Cricetulus griseus: one gene and its partners. The protein of the gene in region 3 interacts with the protein of the main gene of each other region in a pairwise test. Links are inferred from orthologs where the notes say so. Each region holds a gene or a part of one and is shown on either strand. Other genes may lie near its edges.

What was found.
Region 1: the proteins of Ipo13 (region 3) and Pax6 interact in a two-hybrid assay, tested with the Homo sapiens proteins (2 studies listed by BioGRID and IntAct). The link is inferred for Cricetulus griseus from reciprocal best matches to the Homo sapiens genes IPO13 and PAX6.
Region 2: the proteins of Ipo13 (region 3) and Pbx4 interact in binary tests that used the Homo sapiens proteins (3 or more experiments, as listed by UniProt). The link is inferred for Cricetulus griseus from reciprocal best matches to the Homo sapiens genes IPO13 and PBX4.

Annotation. Positions count from the first base shown.
Region 1 is NC_048599.1:72,002,223-72,009,927, reverse strand, and holds the start of Pax6 (paired box protein Pax-6), read left to right. Parts: upstream 1-3,012; coding exon 3,013-3,022; intron 3,023-6,541; coding exon 6,542-6,759; intron 6,760-7,514; coding exon 7,515-7,556; intron 7,557-7,650; coding exon 7,651-7,705. UniProt on the Homo sapiens protein: Transcription factor with important functions in the development of the eye, nose, central nervous system and pancreas. Required for the differentiation of pancreatic islet alpha cells.
Region 2 is NW_023276806.1:249,103,574-249,109,594, reverse strand, and holds the end of Pbx4 (pre-B-cell leukemia transcription factor 4), read left to right. Parts: intron 1-1,033; coding exon 1,034-1,187; coding exon of another isoform or gene 1,188-1,213; intron 1,214-1,496; coding exon 1,497-1,603; intron 1,604-2,930; coding exon 2,931-3,023; 3' UTR 3,024-3,231; downstream 3,232-6,021.
Region 3 is NC_048595.1:34,417,474-34,424,395, reverse strand, and holds part of Ipo13 (importin-13), read right to left. Parts: intron 5,821-6,922; coding exon 5,680-5,820; intron 5,575-5,679; coding exon 5,433-5,574; intron 5,331-5,432; coding exon 5,164-5,330; intron 4,962-5,163; coding exon 4,841-4,961; intron 4,755-4,840; coding exon 4,607-4,754; intron 4,214-4,606; coding exon 4,032-4,213; intron 3,958-4,031; coding exon 3,931-3,957; intron 3,737-3,930; coding exon 3,602-3,736; intron 3,441-3,601; coding exon 3,297-3,440; intron 1,823-3,296; coding exon 1,742-1,822; intron 1,256-1,741; coding exon 1,118-1,255; intron 960-1,117; coding exon 863-959; intron 1-862. UniProt on the Homo sapiens protein: Functions in nuclear protein import as nuclear transport receptor. Serves as receptor for nuclear localization signals (NLS) in cargo substrates.

The DNA of each region.
Region 1 (7,705 bases), on a different chromosome or scaffold from region 3:
CTGGAAAGTTTAAAAACAAAGTGAGTTCTCTCTCTCTCTCTCTCTCTCTCTCTCTCTCTCTCTCTCTCTCTCTCTCTCTCACACACACACACACACACACACACACACACACACACACACACACACACACTTCTAAGCCATTTTGGACGGTAAACTCGAACTTGGGAAGGGTTGAAAAGGAGATAGGAGCAGAAAAATGAAATGGAAAGCTAAAATGCGTGAAAGCCTAGCAAGCTAACCGGAGAAAGAATAACTGTTTTCACTGACTGAGGAGTTGCTGGTGATCTTTGCATATATTTGAAAGCAATTGATTCGTTGTTATCATTTGGCCCTGGAGAGTAAACGTTGTCATCTTAATTGCTAATTTCTAGGAGGGGAATCACTAGGGGAGAAACCAAGTTTCTCCTAACACTTCAGCTAAGGAATATGGGGTTAGATTTTGAAATCTAAATGATTAAAACAACTGCATAGTGTGAAAGCTCTGGCTTGTGTTGGGGTCAGAGAGTGGGGAGGGTGGGTGTCCAGTGGACTTGTGGACCAAGACCTTGTAGCCTTGGAGATTTCTGGAGACTTCTTCATTCCTGATAAAGGTCTATGTCCCCTCTAAGGCAAAGGGGTCTAGCTTCTCTAAGAACAGGACTGCTTCCGGGTTTGGGGTGTGCCCTGCTTCCCAGGGTGCTTTTTGCACTGAGTGTTAACGATTACTTAGGTAATTAGATAGCTTCTTAGAGGAGAGGAGGGTGGGAACCAAGCAAAACCGGAACCTGAAATGCTATCACCTTCCCTGTTGCTTGGAAAAGTAATCAGCTAGCTCTTTCAGTGACCAGCTAGACAATTTTCTAAAATGGCATTGTGGAGGTCCCAGCCAGGATGTGGACATAAGGCTGTGTAAAATGTGGTTAGAGAGGCACTCAGGAAGTTTTGCTGTTCCAAGCAGAATTCTGCCCCATCTCTATCCACCTGCTACCCTTTGCAGCTTAAGTCCTATATGTAGGTAGGATGGACATTTTGTTCTGGGTGGGATTTCCATTCATGACATGATCTTGGATTCAGGAACTGACCTAGAGATAGGGAGGCTTTAGGAGACCCAACCTCGTTTCGGGTACCTAGCTCTCTGGTATGTCCTGTCATAATCAGACACTGAAAAAAAGTCCCCATGCTGAACTTATTTTTATGGCTGCCTCTCAGTTATTTAAAAGTTAGGTCATAAAATGTCTTGAAGAGAAAAATGTATTTCTTGGAATTATTTGTAGAGTGGCAAAATTAACCATCATCACAGTCCAACACAGGAAAAAGAATGATTTCTTAAAATAAAACAAAAATGATGCTGTGACTATTTCATTATTTTAACCCTCCCTTTTTCCTGGGCAAACCTCTTGAATGGGCTCTTTATTGTAACTCTCCCTTCCCAATTGAGCTCCCCACGGTGCCCTTGTATCTTTTTACAGCCCCTAACAACTCACACCAGCAACACAATTACCTCCAGATATTTATAACAAGAAATTACTATTTTTCCACCTCTCTTCCAAGAACCCTCTTTTTTTGCGGGAAGGTAGGGAGGGTGAGCAGGTTGGAAGCATTGGAGGGTACTATAGTGGGTCAGGACTTCAATGAGAAGAGTCCATCTTTTCCCTTTGTGAGTTGGAGAGTTGTGGTTCCTTTGCTTGGACCTGGTGTTGCTGGTTTGAGAGTCTCAGCTTTGCTCTTTGGGTTTGGGGAAAGCTGCGGAATAGAAGCCATTGTTCGGTGTCTGTAGACTTTGTAGACCGTGTTCACCCCCTCCTGTTTGTAGTTTTTAAAGCAGTGAGGCGAGGTAGACAGCAAGTGTCACAGTACAGGAAAGGAGAGAAAGAGCTAAACACTAAAAGCAAAGTTAATTACAATAAATGAGGTTTAGGGTAAAAAGTTGGGCTCACCACTTGCTAAGTCCTGAAAGAGCTGAGAGATTGGTTGTGGGGGTCTGACCAGAAGACTTTGGGGGTAGGGTGGGGGGAGTGAAGGATAAAAGAGTAACTAACCAAAGAACTTAAGTTCTAGGGATCTTGGGACAACTGAGGTGCTGAAATTCCTTAGGAATGGAGGGAGTCTGGTCTGAGGCTCACTCCCGAGACTTCTCTAACCCAAGCGGGCGCTCAGGCACCACCAAGACCTTAAGATTCCTTTCACCTCCACACTTCAGGGGTTAGTTGCTTTCCTTACCCAGTTCGGTTTCTACTCCACTCTTGGCTTTTCGGATTTAAGCCCTCCTCTTTCCCTGGTGCTTATTAGTTTTGCAAAGCGAGACCACAACTCTAGTCTCCCCAATTCACCCAACCAAGCCTAGCCAAAGCACCGTTTCCGAAGGATGTTGGTGTCTGTAGGAGAGGCCACTGCAAGTGTGACGCCTTAGTGTTTCCAAGCAGAAGGAGCCAACCCTGGATTCACTGTGGGTTGAGAGTGGGCCTCAGACTACCAGTCAACCTATGTGTTGGGGCCAAGCTGACATATACCTTTCTTTCCCTCTGTTTTATCTCAGGCAGAAGACTTTAACTAGAGGTGAGCAGATGTGTGAGATCTTCTATTCTAAGAGTGGACATACATCTCAGTTTTCAGGCAAGTTCTATGATGCTGTTTGGGGCTTCACATTCTGAAAGAGTTTTTTAAAAAACCATAGTTCTGGTAGACCCCCCCCCCAAAAAAAAAACTGGGATCATCGTTTGTTCTGATTAAAAGGCTAAGAACAAAAATATTTGAGGAAACTGATTGTGAATGTTAGATTATTTTATCCGTAGCTCCCAAAGTACATTTTGCATGCATAGGAGAACAGGGCTAGCTGACCCTCAGATCGCCCCAAGCGGTTGAGTAGCTCAATTTCTAAGAAAAGGAGGAATCTCCAGTGCAGGCACCACCAGGTCTTCCTCAGTAGGAGTGCAGGCCTACCTGTGCAAAGCCGGGGATTAACTCCAATTTTCTTACTAACAGAGCCCCGCATTCGAGCCCCGTGGGACCCGGAGGCCGCCAACCAGCGCCAGCATGCAGAACAGTGAGTGTCTCGGGTCTTTCCCTGGACTCTTGGGCTGGAGGCGTGCCGACCGGTTAGGGGGGTACACAGAGTCTTGGGCCCTGGGGACTCCAGGCCACTGGGCGAGAGGGAGGAGGCCTGGGGAATTTATTTGGGCTGCACGCGTTGAGTGCCAAGTAGCCAGCGAGGGAGGGTAGGGAGGCATTTGCTCTGCTGTGCTCTAGAAGGGAAGAAGCTGGGGCTCTTCAAAACTACTGGCCCGAGTTTTTGAAGCTGCGGTGGAGAAACCCCATCCCCCCAAATCCTGTAACTCATACCCCCTCCCCGCCCCTGCCCGGGCTCTGACCCCAGAGAGGGGGGCTGGGCTGAGTAGGGCGGGGCAAAGGCTTCTCCTGAGAAGAGAAGGAGGCCCCTTTGGGCTTGGCCAAGACTGAACATCTCCTACGACCCTGAGGGGTGTGTGTGTTGGGGGGCCTTCCCTCCCCTAGTCAATCTTAGGCCAGCTCCTCCCCTCCCCTTCCCCCCCTAGCTATAGGCCTAAAAGGGAAGGGGAGTGGAGCACCCAGGGCCAGTGATGGGGAGACCCCCCCAGCCCCGCATAAGGTGTTGAAAGCAGGGTTTATTGGGGCTGGTCAGGAATTGGGAAAACCTTGCACTAGCAAGTGCAGCTACGTGGGTCCTCGTTGATCCAGTCTCTTAGTACCTTTGATTCCACAGCCTTTGTGCCTTTCTCTAACCTTTGGCCAGGCCCTTTGGGGCCTAACCTTTCTGCTTAGCCAATGGCTGCTGGTATATGACAGAGTTAAGCCAAAAAAAAAAAAAAAAAAAAAAAATTCAAGCCTGGCAGCTAGTGAAACTAGGCCGGGTTAGGGTTAGGGAGTCTACACAGGCTTAAGGATACAACTGTGCTTGGGCGTGTAGAGAGGCCTAGGTCTTCTAGAAACATGCAGTTATGGAGCTGTACTGGCTTAATAGAGTTCCCAGCAGCTCGGGTCCACGTTCTGTAATAGCTGGCTGCCCTGATGATGCCACAGGATGGGGTGGGGGGGCTAAACTCAGGAAAGAGATCAAAGATGGGTGCTTTGCAGCTGTGTTTCTACAGAACCTGTCAGATCCTAGGGCTTGGCCCAGGAGGCACTTTCCTTGGCGAAGCGAATACCATGGAGCTCTGACTCTCTTGCCTTAGGTTTTCAGGTGGGCAGAGGCGCTCAGCCACAAGCGTTTGCCCCTCCACCATGACCTGGCTGGCAGGCCCAGAGGGGCACGGGTCGCGGGTTGGCCTGTAGGCTTTGTGTGGCTGGTTCCCGAGTGTGCGCAAGGCGCAGAGCATCCAAATTGACACCATATGTTTTCCTATTAGAAGCTTTGCGGTCGAATTCTAGGCGCATAATCATCGCCACTGGGCGAGAACGCCAGCAGTCCCTAGGGAAGGGACACAATGATTGAGGCTTAACCTCTAAAGGGGAATTTAGAGCTATGTTTCCTCGCTGCCATTTCGATGCTGGCAGAGGCACCCTGGCCCAGTGTCTCTCGGACCAGCACATGCGGGCTGCAGCTGTGGAGGTACTTACTGGCCACGTTATTTTTGCAATAAAGGAGGAGGAAAAAAAAATCTACGATTAGAGGCCTTGTATGCTCTAGCATCTGTAGACTAGGAATTATCCTGGCTGCTGCTTGGAAAGTTTCTCTGAGATGGCCTTTCCTTTTTGAGAAGGTTTGCCCAGAGACCGGCCTCCATAAATTGCATGGTAAATGAGACTTAGAAAACCAACGTGGACGATAAAGAAAATTAAAGAGAAACCGGAAGCGCAGGGTAGGCCTTGCTATGTTGGAGAAGCGACCTGTCTCCTGCAATGTGCAATGTACCCTCTTGCACTGGCCCGGCCCGGCCGGAGCCCAGATCCCTAAACGCCTGTCACTTCTCATCCAATTGAGGCCCCGCCCCCCCTCGGTGAGCTATAACCCCCCTCCAGCCCCAAGCCTCGGGCTACCCAGAAAACGCAGCTCCCCTCGAAGGGGAGACGAGTACAGTTCATTCTCGTCTGAGTGATCTACAAATAGGGACGGAAAGGGTCGTTTTATCACGGTCCCGTTTGTCGTGACGATGCAATTTCCCGGAGCGGAGCACTGTCACAAAGTGACAAGGCTGCCACAAGCGCCCCGACTGATCTTTTCAATTAGCCTTCCATGCATGATCCGGAGCGACTTCCGCCTATTTCCAGAAATTAAGCTCAAACTTGACGTGCAGCTAGTTTTATTTTAAAGACAAATGTCAGAGAGGCTCATCATATTTTCCCCCCTCTTCTATATTTGGAGCTTATTTATTGCTAAGAAGCACAGGCTCTTGGAGTCAATTTATCAGGAGGCTCCAAGGAGAAGAGAGAGAAGAGAGGAGAGAAGAGAGGAGCTGGGAACCACATCTTCTCCTGAGAGGGCTTCTGTCTAGAAACGGGGCTGCAGGTTGGAGATGTCTGAGGAAGTGGCAAGAGGGGACTGGTTTTATTTGTATGCTGTTGTTTCCGAGGAGGATAATTCAGGGAGGCGCTCCTTCCTCGCCCTAGTCTCTAAGACCAGACAATGGGCTGAGGTTGTGAGATAAGAGTTGAAGGAGGGACGGGTGACACTGTGATGTGGTCCTTTTCTCTTTCTGTTTTGGGTTTCTGTTAGTTAATATTGCGTCTTTGGCTGAGGGGGAGGGCGGAGTTCAGCAGTGGAAGTGAAGCGAGTAGCGGTGCAAAGACTCCAGGCTTTGCTCCCCAATTGGGGCAGGCAGACCACTATGTGGATGGGGGTTTCCAATCCTATGTTTGGTGTGGAGGAACGGATTGGGGTTCGCTAGCTACACATTTATCTTTCGGGTCATTTTCTCTACACACACACACACACACACACACACACACACACACACACACACACACACACACACAGAGCTATATGCTGTGCGCCTCTGCCAGAGCTAAATCACGATGCAAAGGTTTTATGACGTTTTGCGCCCAGCCATTACAAGGCTTGGGATTTGCTGTGCTGTTATAACAGGGCCGAGACTGCAGTGTGGACTCTGTGGTGACACTTAGAGGTGATGCTTAGGGAGAAGATTTTAAGAACTGTTGTTTGCCTCTTATGGGTTCCAAGCAGGTCTGGAGTGCTTATGAAGGGGGCAATGGGCTCAGGGAACTGTTAGGTGAAGGTGATACTGGGTGGATATGTTCCTGAGTATCTTCCCCAGTCTGACAACAGGTCAATGGGCAGGATCAGTCTGTATTTGAGGCTGGGCTACCCAATGCCCTGCATGGCTGGTGGTCCTGTTGTGTTGTTGTTGTTGTTGTTTTAATTTTAAACCAGGACCTGATTGCTGAGGTTCGCACAGGTTGGCAGGGAGCTGAGGTTGCATTGTTCTTCTTCTTCTTCTTCTTCTTCTTCTTCTTCTTCTTCTTCTTCTTCTTCTTCTTCTTCTTCTTCTTCTTCTTCCTCTTCCTCTTCTTCTTCTTCTCTCTTCCCTCTACTTCTCTTCTTGCTCTCCTCTCCTCCTCCTTTCCTCAGGTCACAGCGGAGTGAATCAGCTTGGTGGTGTCTTTGTCAACGGGCGGCCACTGCCGGACTCCACCAGGCAGAAGATCGTAGAGCTAGCTCACAGCGGGGCCCGGCCGTGCGACATATCCCGAATTCTGCAGGTGATCCTCCCGTGGCTGCCCCACTCGCCGCCCCTTCCCCCGCCCTCACAGCCCTCCACTTTAAATGTCCTCTCTTCATTTCTTACTGTAAACGCTACTAAGAATGGACCCCTACCCTCACCCACTTCATCCCTACCAACTCCCCTACCTCCCGGCTCTTCCCTCTCCTTCCACCATGGTCCCTGTCTCTTTCAACCTCAATCAGTCAGTTACATAAGATAATTCATCCTTGTAAGGAAAAAGTGTGTGAATTAAAAAATATATATATATATATATATATATATATATATATATATATATATCTTTTCATTTGGTAAAGACATTCATTATGGTAACAGTATATAAACTGTAATGAGCCAAGTTATATAAATTGGGATAATCTCACTCCCCTCTCCCCATCCCTCACTAACCTCAGATTTTGAGAGATTTGTTTGCATTCTTCATGCACATGAAGAATGTATATGGATTTTAGAAGGCAGTTGCTATTTAACCCTCTAATTCACATTCACATTCAAATTTAAGGGAAAAAAGGTAAAAATGCAATTATTTTTCCTTTTGTTCTTTACAATTTAATACTACTCAAAGCAAACTCTCCACACATACATACACACACACACACACACACACACACACACACACACACACACACTTAACCTGACTTCGTTTTAATGAATCTTCACACAGTGTTTAGGAAAATAGTTTAAAAAGCTTTTTAAAACAATTCAAAGTGTTTGAAAGTATCATTATATTTGTAGTTTTAGGGCTACAAATGTAATTTTAAGAAAAAAAAAGCTCTCTACAGTAAGTTCTCATACCATTGAAGGTATATTTTTGTGTTATAGACCCATGCAGATGCAAAAGTCCAAGTGCTGGACAATGAAAACGTAAGCTTGTCATTGTTTAATGCATACTTAAACAATTTTATTTTTGTCTTGAAATTATTAATAATGTGGTTTTCTGTCCACTTCCCCTGTGCAGGTGTCCAACGGATGTGTGAGTAAAATTCTGGGCAGGTATTACGAGACTGGCTCCA
Region 2 (6,021 bases), on a different chromosome or scaffold from region 3:
GAAGAAGAGTGAAGGAAAGGAAGAGGGAGTGGGGGAACAGAAAGCCGTGGTAGTGAAGTGGGGCTGGAGAGACCGATGGCAACATGGCAGCTCTCAACTATCTTTAAGTCTAGGCCCAGGCACCCAGTGCCCTCTTCCATCTCTAGGGGCACCAGACATGCACATGCTACACACACACACACACACACACACACACACACCACACACACACACACACACACACACACACACACAGGCAGAGCACCCATGCACATAAAATGGAAAAATCTCAGAGTAGTACACACGCCTGGTGGAGAGTGGCCTCAGCATCATCCAGGTCTGCAAGGAAGGTGGCTGCCCTCCTTGCAGAACAGAGAGCCAGAGTTTTTGGGGCCTTCTTCCTGTTTTTTTCAGTTAGGTTAGGTGGGGTTTTAAGCCAGGTCTCACCTAGCTCAGGCTGACCTGGAACTTACTGTGTTGCCCAGCATGACCTTGAGTTCACAGTAATCCTCCTGCTTCAGCCCCCCACTCTAGGGTAGCAGGTGTGAGCCATCAAGCCCAGTGTCTTTTATTTTAGTGGTGGTTATTTTTTATATTTATGTATTTATGTTTTATATTTATGTATTTCTTATTTGTGTGTGTGTGCACACTCCATGCATTAATCCATGTCCCTATCACTGTGTGTGGTGCCTGTCACTGAAGGAATGTGGAAATCAGAAGACAACGTGTTTCTCTACTTCCTCCATGTGGCTCCTAGGAATTGAATTCGGGCCACAGACTTGGCAGCAAGCCCCTTTATCTAGTAAGCCTTCTCTGCAGTCCCATCCTCTTTTTTTGTTTTGTTTTGTTTTGGGTTTTTGTTTTTTTGTTTTGTTTTTTTCCGAGACAGGGTTTCTCTGTGTAGCCCTGGCTGTCCTGGATCTCACCCTGTAGACCAGGCTGGCCTGGAACTCACAGAGATCACCCTGCCTCTGCCTGGAAGGAGTGTGCCACCACCACCTAGCAAGCATGCCCACACCAGGACTGCATCCATTGTCTGTGCATCTGTCCACAGGTCTCTAACTGGTTCGGCAACAAGAGAATCCGATACAAAAAGAACACGGGGAAGTTCCAGGAAGAGGCCACCATGTACACTGAGAAGACATCTACGGCCACCAAAGTCCGGGGTTCAGGGGGCCAGAGCAGCTGCCAGTCCACACCCAGCCCAGGTGACAAGGCCATGGCCTCCATAATTGTAAGCTTTGGGGGTTTGGTTGACTCACACTACCCGGACCTAGACAGCCAGTGCCAGCAGAGGGACAAGAGCATCACCTTAGCCTCACGGGCCAGCGTCACCCACACAGGGCTAGGGGAAGAGCAGGTGGCTACATGCTTTAGGGAGTCAGCTCTAGAGTCCCTTTTAATGAGGGACTGGGCAGTTGCCACCCAGAAATCCCTGTGACTGCTGGCCCAGCTTCTGCAGTGACTCACACCCTCCACCCCCACCATGCCAACCTGACTCCACCCACTCCTCACAGGTTCCTGTGGCCCCTTCCCCCTGACCAGTGGAGGTGACATGGTTCTCACCCTTCGGACCCTGGCCTTCCTCCAGCCCCCACCTGGGGGAGTCTGCCTCCAGCCCCCGGTGAGTCAGCTGCAGCCACCTAGGGACCCCTCTAGGGCTTTGGGAAAGTAGAGGAACCCTGATGCTGAGTCTCCAGAGAAGGAGAGTGGTTAGCCTCTGGACTCAGAGCCATCTGTCACTGGGGACTGGAGACATGGGAGAGGGCGTCTCACCCTGAAAGGGCAGCAGCTGCCAGACTGGGGTTTCGTCACTGGGGTCTAAACAGCCAAGCTACCTCTAGAGATTTCTCAGGGTATCATCTGAATCCTTTGTAGGTCCTGTGACCTCCCAGTCTGTCCTGAGCCTCCTCTGAAAGGCCTGTGAGGGCACTGCATAAACAGAATGAAGCCTGGCATGGTGGCACTGGCCATGGCCCCATGAGTCCCATGGGATTCCCAGAAGCCCCCTCTGAACCAGACCTGGGGCTCAGGACAGTGGTGGGCCTGGCTCACTCTGGCCCTGCCTGCCATCACTGTGAGACCCAGCCTGACACAATCTACAGGCTGCAAAGTAGTCTGGGCCTGCTTCTCACATACCTGGAGCTGAGGTGCTCTGGAACAGAACCAGCAGGGGTAGGGGAGAAACTGGAGGGAGGCAACAGGCTGCCTGCCCTGGACAGCACAGAGCAGATGGAGGGTCAGACCTGGGGTGATGCCACACCCTGCAGGCACCCCACCTGCACCTCCATTAATTTTCAGCTAAAATGTGATCCAAACAAACCCTTTTTTTGTTTGTTTGCTTGTTTGCTTTTTTGAGACAGGGTCTCTATGTAGCCCTGGCTGTCCTGGAACTCACTATGTAGACCAGGCTAGCCTCAAATTCACAGAGGCCTCCTGCCTCTTTCTCCTGAGGGCTGAGATTTCCAAGCCAACATTTCTGTCCCTCTGTTCACCTGGCTCTTCTTAAAGGTCACTCTGCCTGCATGGCCACTGTCCGTTACGTGGGTGCTTCTGCGCATGCCTGCATGGCCTCACTCATAGAACCTCAGCCACACTGCTCTGCTTGGTACAAGTGTTCCCTGAGCTCAGCACGCTCGTCCAGCTGTCCTCAGACAGATGGGCAGAGCAGCTCCAATGTGCACTGTGCCCATGCACACTACAGACAGGAAGGAGGCTGCCTGTGAGGAAGGGCTCTTGTCCATGAGCCATGGCTGTTCCATAGGCCACTGTGGCTAGACTCTTGGTTCTGACACACTGTTAGGTATTTCATGGAGGGTTAGGGGCTCAGTAGCCCCCTTCACCCCACTGCTCAGCCAGCTCTTTCTGAGACTCATCTGCTAGAAAGTTGTGAGTAACCCTGGGGACACAGGGACTGGCTGATCACCTATGTTCACACTCTGTCTTTCCAGACCCACAGCAGCTGGCAGAGAGCCACCGCCCCACAGCCACCCTCATCACCTGCTGGAGACTCTGGAAGCTTCAACTCAGATGTGTCTAATTAAGTTTTGGGTACCTGGTTGAGTGCCATGGATGACTGGCCCTGTGTCCTGCCAATTACCTCAGAAACCCTGGCTGTGGCAATACCCTTTTCCTGGCCACTTACGTACCTACCTTGGAGTGATTTTTAAACAACAGTATGTTGGTTGACAGTGGATTGTTCATCTAGGGCTTTGTTCTGAGCACCTTATTAAAGTGTTTGACTTGTCTGCATTCCAGTGTTTTCACTCCAGGCTTGTCTGGGTGATAGGTGACAACCTAGATTCCGTCACCAGCTCTAACCCTCCTGGCCCCTGCTTTGATTCGGAACTGGTTCAGTATTTGTTTCAGCTAAAAGGGGCTGTGAGGCCGCGTTCCCACCATGTGAGGCCTTGTCCCCTCAGCGGCAGCTAAGGGGCCTCCTCTCAGCCTTCATCTGAGAGCCACCTACCAGTATCCCCGTGGCCCTGACCCCACCCTGTCAGCCACCATCACAACAGTGACAACATCCTGGGAAAAGCCCATGGCAAATGGGAACCATCCTGTCTCTGGGACCCAGGCAGCTGCACTCTGCCACTTATCTGCACATGTGACCCTGCTGATTCTGGGGGCTGAGAAGTGGCTTTCAGCTGTCACCTGTAGTGACAGAACACTGTCATCCACCAAAGGATGCCAGTGTCTCCCCACCCACTTCCCCAACGCCTGGTAGCCACTCACCTGGACTCACCTGCTATTAAGTGTCAGTGAGCCACACACTCCACGTGGCCGTCTATATCTAGCCCTGTCACTGGTATTTTTTAGTTTTGCTGCATTGTAGAATGGATCAGAGTGTCTTTTTAATTTTTTTGGGGGGGGTTGCAGACACGGTTTCTATGTGTAGTCCTGGCTGTCCTGGAACTCACTCTGGAGACCGGGCTGGCCTTGAACTCAGAGATCCACCTGCCTCTGCCCCATGAGTGCTGGGATCAAAGATGTGCGCCACCACTGCCCCACCTGGCTTCAGCCAGTGTTCGTAACTACTGAGATATCCTTCCAATTCCCAGAGCCTCATTCTTGTTCACAGCTGAGCAACACCATAGAGGAAGGTACCTTAGGAGACACCCCAGCTGAGGTGCAGGGCTGCTGAAGGCAGTGGTCACTGTCACTGATCACTGTCCCCTTCATACCCTTTGGGTGCACAGCCTTGGATTGAACACCTTCCCAGCTACTCTTGAGCTGCATGGAAAAAACTTCAGATTCTGGAAACTTCTCTGGGTGAGCTGAGCACACGAACAGGTGGAGAAGAGTGTTGCCTGCACAGACCTGGCAAAAGCCAGCATCATCCTAAAGCTGTTGACCACCTCACTTTGAGACTCCCACAGTCCCTGTGAGCCCTACCCAGATCATAAGTTTTCTTGGCCTTTGAATGGAGAACTAACTGAGTGAGGATTTCTCAGGAAAACTGGCTCAAGGAAGGGAGATTGAAGAAGAGTCATGCAAATAAGGTGCAAATTTAATGCAAATGGGTGGGATCATGCAAATTATAGAAACATAACAGAAGAGGATTTTGGGAGACAGGAGCTGCATGACAAAATTGAGAAGGATGACCTGCATTCCTTGTGGGATTAGCTCAGGAACTTCCACCCACACAGGCCTCCAGCAATCTCCAGTGGATGGAATTAGGACAGCAGCTTTCTTTCCCAGTTCCCCAAGCATACTCTGGAGTCCCCAAGGATCCCCTCCCTGACCACCCTCAAGTCGCAGGGGATAATAAGCAGGGCTGGCTGAGGGAAGGGGTCAAAGTTCAGGACTCCCACTCTCTTCCTCCACCACATTTTCTTGGCATGTTACCCAGACAATCAGTCCTGCTAACGAAACTGAGACGCCAGGAATGAGTAGGGATAGGGCCTGGGTCTTACTGGAGAGGGCAGGTTTTACCTTCAAGAATTTCCATGATGACATCGTGGGTGCATTCAAGCCCCCTGCTGCCATGGCGGATGACAGGGTGAGAGAGAGAGTGACCAGAATCAACCAAAAGCAGGAGGGACCATAGGGGACCTCGAACAGGTTGCAGTTATCTCTTTAGCCACAAGGGGGAGCAGTCAACCTAAAAAAAACTAAATCCTGCCGCCAGACTCCACCAACCATCTAAACAGATTGAAAGGAAACCTCTGAGCCTCAGTTTCTCTATCTGTAACGTGGGGACGTCACAAGAACAGCCTTCCGAGAGGTCAGCATCCAACACACAGATGATAACTGTAAAGCACGACTGTTGGGCTGAGCCCAAGGGGCTGGGGACTAGCAAAGGCCCAGGTGTTCCAGGAACCGGGAACATGGAGGCAGAACTGCCCTTCCTGCCCTAAGGCCAGCGAGCCAGCGCTTCCTGGGGGAAGGGGACTCGGACTACAAAGGGATGAGTCCCTCGGCAGCAGGGTGATGCAAGTAGATGGGGTTGGGGTGGGAGCGGGGTGCTCGACCTGTTCTCCCAGGACACCCAGGTCGCCAGTATCAGGCCTGCTATAGCTGCCCCCACCCAGCAGCAGGTGGCCTGCCAGCGACATTCCTCAGTGCCGGGCGCCAGGCAGCCGCTCCTGCCGGATGAAAGTGGGCCTGGCCGCGTGGGACTCGTGTTTTTCCAGCAGCTTCTTCAGCCACAGCCTGACCACAACCTAGATTCTGTAGGGCTAGCCACTTCGTGTTTGTGTTCAGCCTGGCCAGACAGTAGCAGGGCCAGGCCGGGGGCCCTGGCCTCCCAGAAGGTCTGGCTGCCCAGCCTGAAGCATGCGCTCCTCCCACGAGAAGCCCTTGTTACAGCTACTTAGCTGTTATTTCCTTTTCTTTGTTGTTTTTGTTTTGAGACAGGGTCTCTCTAGATAGCTCTGGCTGACCTCGAACTCACCACATAGTAGAGAATGATAGAGAATTCCTGCTGCCTCCACCTCTCACAGGCTGAGATGACAGGCATGTGCCAACGTGCTGGGCTTGGCTTGTAGCCCTTAGAGTCAGTTTGGAATGGGGTGGTAGTCACTGCTGAAGGTGCAGACC
Region 3 (6,922 bases):
TCCAAGATCACTAGGACTCATTCAGAAAAGGGCTACAAGTAGTGGAAGAGGTGGAGTTGAGGACAGTCACACTAGGTTTCTTTCCACTTTGGATCTGCTCCATGGTCCACAAAGGACCAGGCATTAACAGTATGAGATGGGAGCAATCTGGGCTCCAGCTGAGACCTCCAGCTGGCCTCAAAGCTCAAATCCAGGCTAGGCTCATGGAGCTGAGGAATAGCATTGCTTCTGTCACAGGTCAGAACCTGGGCTAGACGGGAAACCTGAAGGCCAGTTTCCAACTCTCTCAGACAGAGGGTCACAGAAAGAGGAACTTTGGGCTCAGAAAGGACTAAACTTTGATATGGGAAAAGGAATCGGCACTCTTGAGTATGTCATATACAAAAGCCCAAGCCAGGACCTAAGGAACTAGAATGCCTGACATGATTTGGAAACAGGGGTCAGTGAAGGTAAGTGACTTGCCCAAGGTCACACAACTAGTTTGGTGGCGATGAGCTTAGATTCTAGGTCTACCTGGTTTCAAAGCCCATGCTCCTCCAACTTCTCAGTACATCTCAAAGGCACTGAGCCAGACTAGTGTTCCAAGTCCCTCAGAGTCTGAGCCCAGCTTCCCCCAGTATCCAGGCTGGCCTGGAGCGCAGGCAGGCTGTAAAAGATACCATTCACCATCTTATCCACTTCAAATCTAAAAAAATCAACTACTTAGAGGTAACAATTGTACCGTGCTTCATCCCCAAGTTTCTCATCAAGTCCCATGTGTGATCAGGGGATCAAGAACAGAGTGGGTGGCTTTGGTTCCCCAGTGGAGGAAGCAGAGGTAGTGGCAATGGCGGCGGCAGCAGAGACCCTAATTGGCACTTACCTTGCTGGAAGAGAGTGAGAGTGACGGAAGTGACCAGCAGGAAGAGGGCCTCTATTGGGGGAAAGTGGGCGGGCTCATGGGCAAAGATGTGGACCAGCTACAACAAAGGATGGAAGGGTGGTCAGCTGAGGTCCACCTCACAGGACAGATCAACATCCCTGGAACACAGGTGGGCAGGGACACCCCCCCACCCAGGGTCAGATCTCTAACTAGGGTGACATCCGGAGTACCAATTGCCCAAACCAGAAGGCCTACCTGCCGAGTGAGGTCAAGAGCAGAGGCCTGGGGGATGGTGCTATACATCCGACCCAGCATCTCACAGAGCTGTGGCACCATGGGGGCAAAGTCATCCAGCAGTGTCTTAACAGACTTTTCAAAGATGGCACACACTGCCTGAGGAAGAAAGCAAAGAGACCCTCGTCAGCAGGTCACAGGAGGGAGGACTAAGAAAAGGCCCTTACCCAGAAGTCTGGCAAAGCCCTTCAAACCAAGCAAGGTAAATAATCTATTCCTCAGCCTGAAAAGAAGGGGCAAAAGGCTCTCCACAGAGGAGCACAGACTCAGACTAGGTCATTTAACTCCTGTGACACGTGTCGATACCATTTCCTCTCAGGGGACAGTAAGAGCAACCGAAATCTCAACTCAAAAGGATACAAAGCCAGGTCTCTGGTGCTACAACAGACACCCTAAGTCACTAAGGCCCTAAGGTCACTATCGTTTCACCCAGCACTTCTGTGATACTGAGGTAGGTGTGTCAGGGTTGTAGTCTTCCTTCCTTATTCTCTCCAGACCACTACAAGAAGCATTGAGGCACCAAATCCTTTACTCTGGCTCATTTGGCCAAAATCAGCCTAGGGAGCAGAGAGGGTCAGGGCTCACCTCAACCACCTGGGCATCGTTCAGCCACTTGCTCAGCACCTTCTGGATGAGCTGGAAGACTTGCTGTAGCACGACCACCACCTAAACACACAGGGAGGAGTGAGGCACCACCTCTGCCATCCACCCAAGGACCTGGCAGGGGGCAAAGGGCTCAACCCATCACCCTGCACACTGAGATGTGGTACATAGGACCCTCGGGGCAAGAATTGGTTAACCCCCCCGGCAATGAAAGAGAATATTTTGAGTTGTAGGTCATTTTCAGAGGAAGACTCAGAACTTCAAAGCAGAGACATCCTAAGCTCTTGATAAAATTGAGATACCTTTGCAAACATAACAAAACAAAACAAAAACTCACTCTCTGTTTACTTCTGCTTAGAAATACCAAAGCAATGGGCTAGCCCCTGAGGAGGAAGAGATGCTGTCTCACCCAAGCAGGCGTGGGGTAGGGAGCCCCAAGGGATGCGTAGATACGGGCAGCTTATGGCAGAGCAGAGAGCAGGCTGAGGTCCTGGGAGATAGGGAAGGCAGGATGATGACTGCCACAGAAGAAAAGGGGGGCTCTGCGGGATGGTGGTGGCCCAGGCTTGGCCTCGAGCCCAAATGGTAACTGAAGCTGAGGTGTGGAGATGAACAGAGGCCAGTGTGTCCCTGGCTTCTTTTTTTCCAGGAGAAGGTCTGGGGCACGCAAGATCAATGACCAGAGCAGCCCCTGGTATTTGTTTAGAACTTTACAGTCTGACAACCTCTCTTACTTAAGACCCCTCAGCTCCAGGTCCTGCAAAGAGCAGATGAAGACCCCAGCAGCCACAGCTTTAAGAGGGAAACTGAGGCTTGTCCCAAATCAGACAGCTTATAAGAGGTCACTTCAAGGACTGGGGTGGAGCTTGGTGGCAGAATGCTTGCCTAGCATGTCCAGAGCCCTATGTTCAATCTCTAACACCATAAAAAGGAAACATCCAATTACAAATGCCTTTGATCCCAGGACTCTGGAGGGAGGCAGAGGCAGGAGGATCTCTGACTCAAGGGCGGTCTTATTTACATAGTAAGTTCCAGGCTACCAGGGCTACTTAGCAAGACTCTGTCTCAAAAGAAAATCAAAAGTGAAAAAGCAAAGAGGTCATCCCAAACCCATGCCTAAGTTATCATGGTGCTCAGCACTCAGCCCTGTAACAATCTCTTCTGTGCATCTCCTCTCAGTGGGGAGTAACTTGAGTGCCTGCAGCAGACAATGAATGCTCAAGTAGGAGGGCCTAAAGAGACAGGGTTAAACATTAGCTCATTACACAGCTCAATGGTACTGAAGGATAATGTCAGTGTCCCTTACTGGTGGGGCAAATAAACCTCAATGACATCACCCCAACTGGGCTGAAGACAAGGGAAACATCTAATACAGGATGAGGGATGCAATGACATGGCTACATATAAAGTGGTGGGCCAAAGGACCAAATGCATGACCTCTATGGGGTCAGGAAGCAATGCCAACGCTATCTACAGGGTTAGAGAGTGATAGACATTCCCACAAGGAAAGGGGAGTGGCAAAGACAATGTCACCTACTGGGTTGGGTCCCTGTGGCACTGGTAGCTTCCGGAGCTCAGGGCCTTCGTGATCATCCTCATGATGACTGACATCCAGTGTGGTGAAGAGATTGGAAAGAAGCCCCAAGATGTGGACAATGGCCAGTTTGTTGGAGGGATTCGGCTATGGGTAGAATAAAATCAAGCTTCAGACTTCTGAATCTCAGCCTAGGGGCCAGATCACTCAACACCGAGCCTGAGTGCCAATTCCAACATCCCCACGCCTACGCCCACAGAGAAACCCCTGGGTCCCAGTGCTGCCCCAGGTCCCCAGAGCTCACTCACTATCTCTTCTGCCAGCTTCTCCAGCTGTTGGATGTAGGGAGAGATGAGTGAGTGCAGGTTCTTCAGGATCTCCTCCACCTGCAGGGCTGACAGCAGGAAGCCCAGTGCCTGCATTAGCCACATGCACTGGCTTGTCTGTGGGGCAGAAAACAGGGATGGTCCACCTGACCACATCTTCTTGTGAGTAGAAAGGAGAATGAGCCTCTTGGGGAGGATTATAAGAACAAAGAATAAGAGGTGAAGTGGGGAGAAGGGAAAAGGGTAGGATTTAGGAATAAGCAATTCCCCACCAAAGATCCAAGGAGACCCCTAGAAAGCTTGAGCCGTACCTTGTGGATCTGCTTCATCAGCACATCCTGGGAGTAAAGAATAACATATTAGGGTGGAGCAGGGCACTCTGAGACCCAGCACCATCGGGGGCACCACATACCTGGGAGACAGCTACAATGTTGGCAGCATAGGGTGGCAGGTCATATTTGCACTCCCTGCAGATCTTTTTGAGGGTAGACACAGAAGACACAGATAGCTCAGGGTTGCCTAGGGCATGCAGCACAAGGGGCAGAACATTGTTGATCATGACGGGGTGGTCAGCCAACCATTCAGACAGAGCTCCTGGAGGAGAAGGGAAAGAGAAGGCTCTCTGAGGCAGGCAAGGCTTTAGGGATGGTTAAGTTACAGCCTCAGTGCATCCAGAGTGATCAGAGGACCGTGTGGGCATAAAGGCATTGACGCTCAAACATGACCCTCACCGCTGAAAAGCAGAAAGGGATTACTCAACAGAGGCCCAGCACTGCTGCTCCACTGACTGACAGCAAACTAGCATCACTGAGATGCAGCTCAGTGCACTGCAGAAAAGACTTGCCAGGACAGTTAGTTGGCTGCAATGTTGACTGTGTGGGGGGAGATGTATCTCTCTCAGTTTGGAGGGACCCAGCAGGCCAGCCATGCTTAGGTATGGGTGCTGTAGCTCTAAGAATGTGGTCGTGGATGTATGCCAGGTCTCACCAATGGTGAACATGACAGTATCTGCCAGCTGCACGTTGCTGATGCTGATCCGTGGGATGAGGCCAATGAGCCCGGGCACCACATCAGAATAGTTGACATCGATGGTCTCCGCGATGGATTGGAAGCCATAGAGCAGGGCCTCTGTGTGCTGGGGAAAGAGGGTGCCACTGGCTTGACTTAGGAGGAGGGTGTAGCAAGTTAGGGAGGGCAGAGGGAATCAGGTTTGGGAGGTACCTGCCAAGAGTAGGGCTCCTCTGAGCTGGTGAGCAAATGGCCCAGCTTGTCATAGAGGTTGCTAAGCAGCTCGGCCCCCAGCATCTCATAGACATACATGAGCGTGTCTGAAATGTCCACCCTGAAAAGCAGATGAAGGCCTGTTACACTGCTTGGGTCTTTAACATAAGCCAGGAACCTACCCAGGGACCCTCACAACCCTGCAAAATTGCCTAAAGGCTAGGAAAAGAAATCCCCAGAAGTCAGTAAGCTTGGCTGATTGCCTCTTCCCTTGTTTCATTACTTAAGACTGTTTAGAGTGAGGGTTGACTTGCTACCATCACCTGTAAATTCGGAACTGCTCCTTTTCATCTGAGGACCAGAATCCATATTCCTCATCGGAAGGGAACTGGGCTTTGCGCAAAAGCACATCCACCAGCTTGAAGTAGACTGGCCGGTACAGCTGCTGGTACACAGCCTGCTTCTCTGCCTCAAAGGACAGAATGTCATCCTGAGAGAGCCAGGGAAGACAGTCAGTCACCTCACCAGCAACCACAGAAGCATGGTCCACCTTCATGAAGGACCAGTCTGTCTGGTGGTCACACAGACATACCTGCAGTGTGTACCAGAAGGTGAGAGTGAGGGAGCTGGTGGTCTCATTGACAGGATAATGACCAGGAATGCCAGTGCAGAACATGATCATGTTGACGAGTTCCAGGAAGCTCCGCCAGTGCTCTACTTGGTCTAGCAAGGCCCTGGGGTGGGAGGAGAGTTATCTCACTAGACCTCCCCAATGAGGGTCCGTAACCTTAACCTTTAATGGACCCTGCCATCCCACCAGCAGCTGCCCCACTGCCTACCGAGAATGATTCTCGCCCAGGGCCACAGCAATGCGACAGATGCCATGGGAGGTCTCCATGTCCCCATTCTGAACTGCCTGTTCCAGTTGTTCCTCCAGTCCCAGAACCAGCGGAATGAGTTTCAGGAGTGTGTTCACATACCTAGAGGCATGAGGTAAGGTGACCCATCAGAGCTGTCTGCCCAACCCCACCAGCTTTGAGAGAGAGGCACAATTTCCCTGTCTTCTACCAAAGTCTTCCTATCAAAAAGAGGCCAACGCTGTTTTGATGCTGCTCATGCTGAGAACATTAGGTCAGATATCTTCGGGAGAGCTCTGGGAAGGAAGCACAAGAAAGTCTGAGATATAGGTTGAAGTACTTCCTCCAGCAGGACTGGAAGCTGATGCTGAGATGGGTTAGTGCTCAGAGGGAATTAGGGAGAAGAGAATGCATTTTTGTGTGAGGGTGGCATGAGCTTTGGAAGCCCAGAGTGCAGATTGTTATAGGTTGAAACGTACATCTCCTAACAAGGTATGCTGATGGGCTGGTGAGATAGTTCACCTCATATAATCACAAAGACGAGAATTTGATCCCCATAATATGTGCCAAAAAAGCTGGGTATACTTGTGATGCCAGCAGTGGGGAGATGGACAGGAGGATTCCAGAGGCTTGCTACTGGCCTGTCAGGCTAGCCTACTTGGTAATCTCTAGCCAGTAAGAGGTCCAGTCTCAAAACAGAAGTTATATGGCTCCTTAGAAACAACACCAAGACTGTTATGCACATACACAAAAAGATAATGTTGGCATCCTATCCCCCAGTACCTGAAAACGTGACCCTGCTTGGGAAAAGCATCGTTGTAGATAAAAACATACTAGAAGTGTACTCCTAATCCAGTATGACTCGTGTCCTTACAAGACAGCCATGCGATGACAGATGCGTCATGGGACAATGCCAAGTAAAGAGAAAGGTAAGCACTGGCACTTGCAGCTGCAAGCCAAGGAATGCAAAGCTGCCAGCCAACCACTAGGCAGGAGGCGGCTGGGAAGAAGTCTTCTATGGGTTTCAGCGGAAGCACAGTCCTACTGACACCTTGCTTTCAGACGTCTAGCCTCCACAACTGTCAGGCCATTTCTGTCATTCAGAGCCATCCGTTTGCAGTACTTTGTTATTGTGGCCCCTAAAAGGAACACAGTTAGTGTCAGGAGACACTGGACAAGGGTATTCATGTCAGGAACACCATTAAAGAGGACTTTGGAAGGTAGT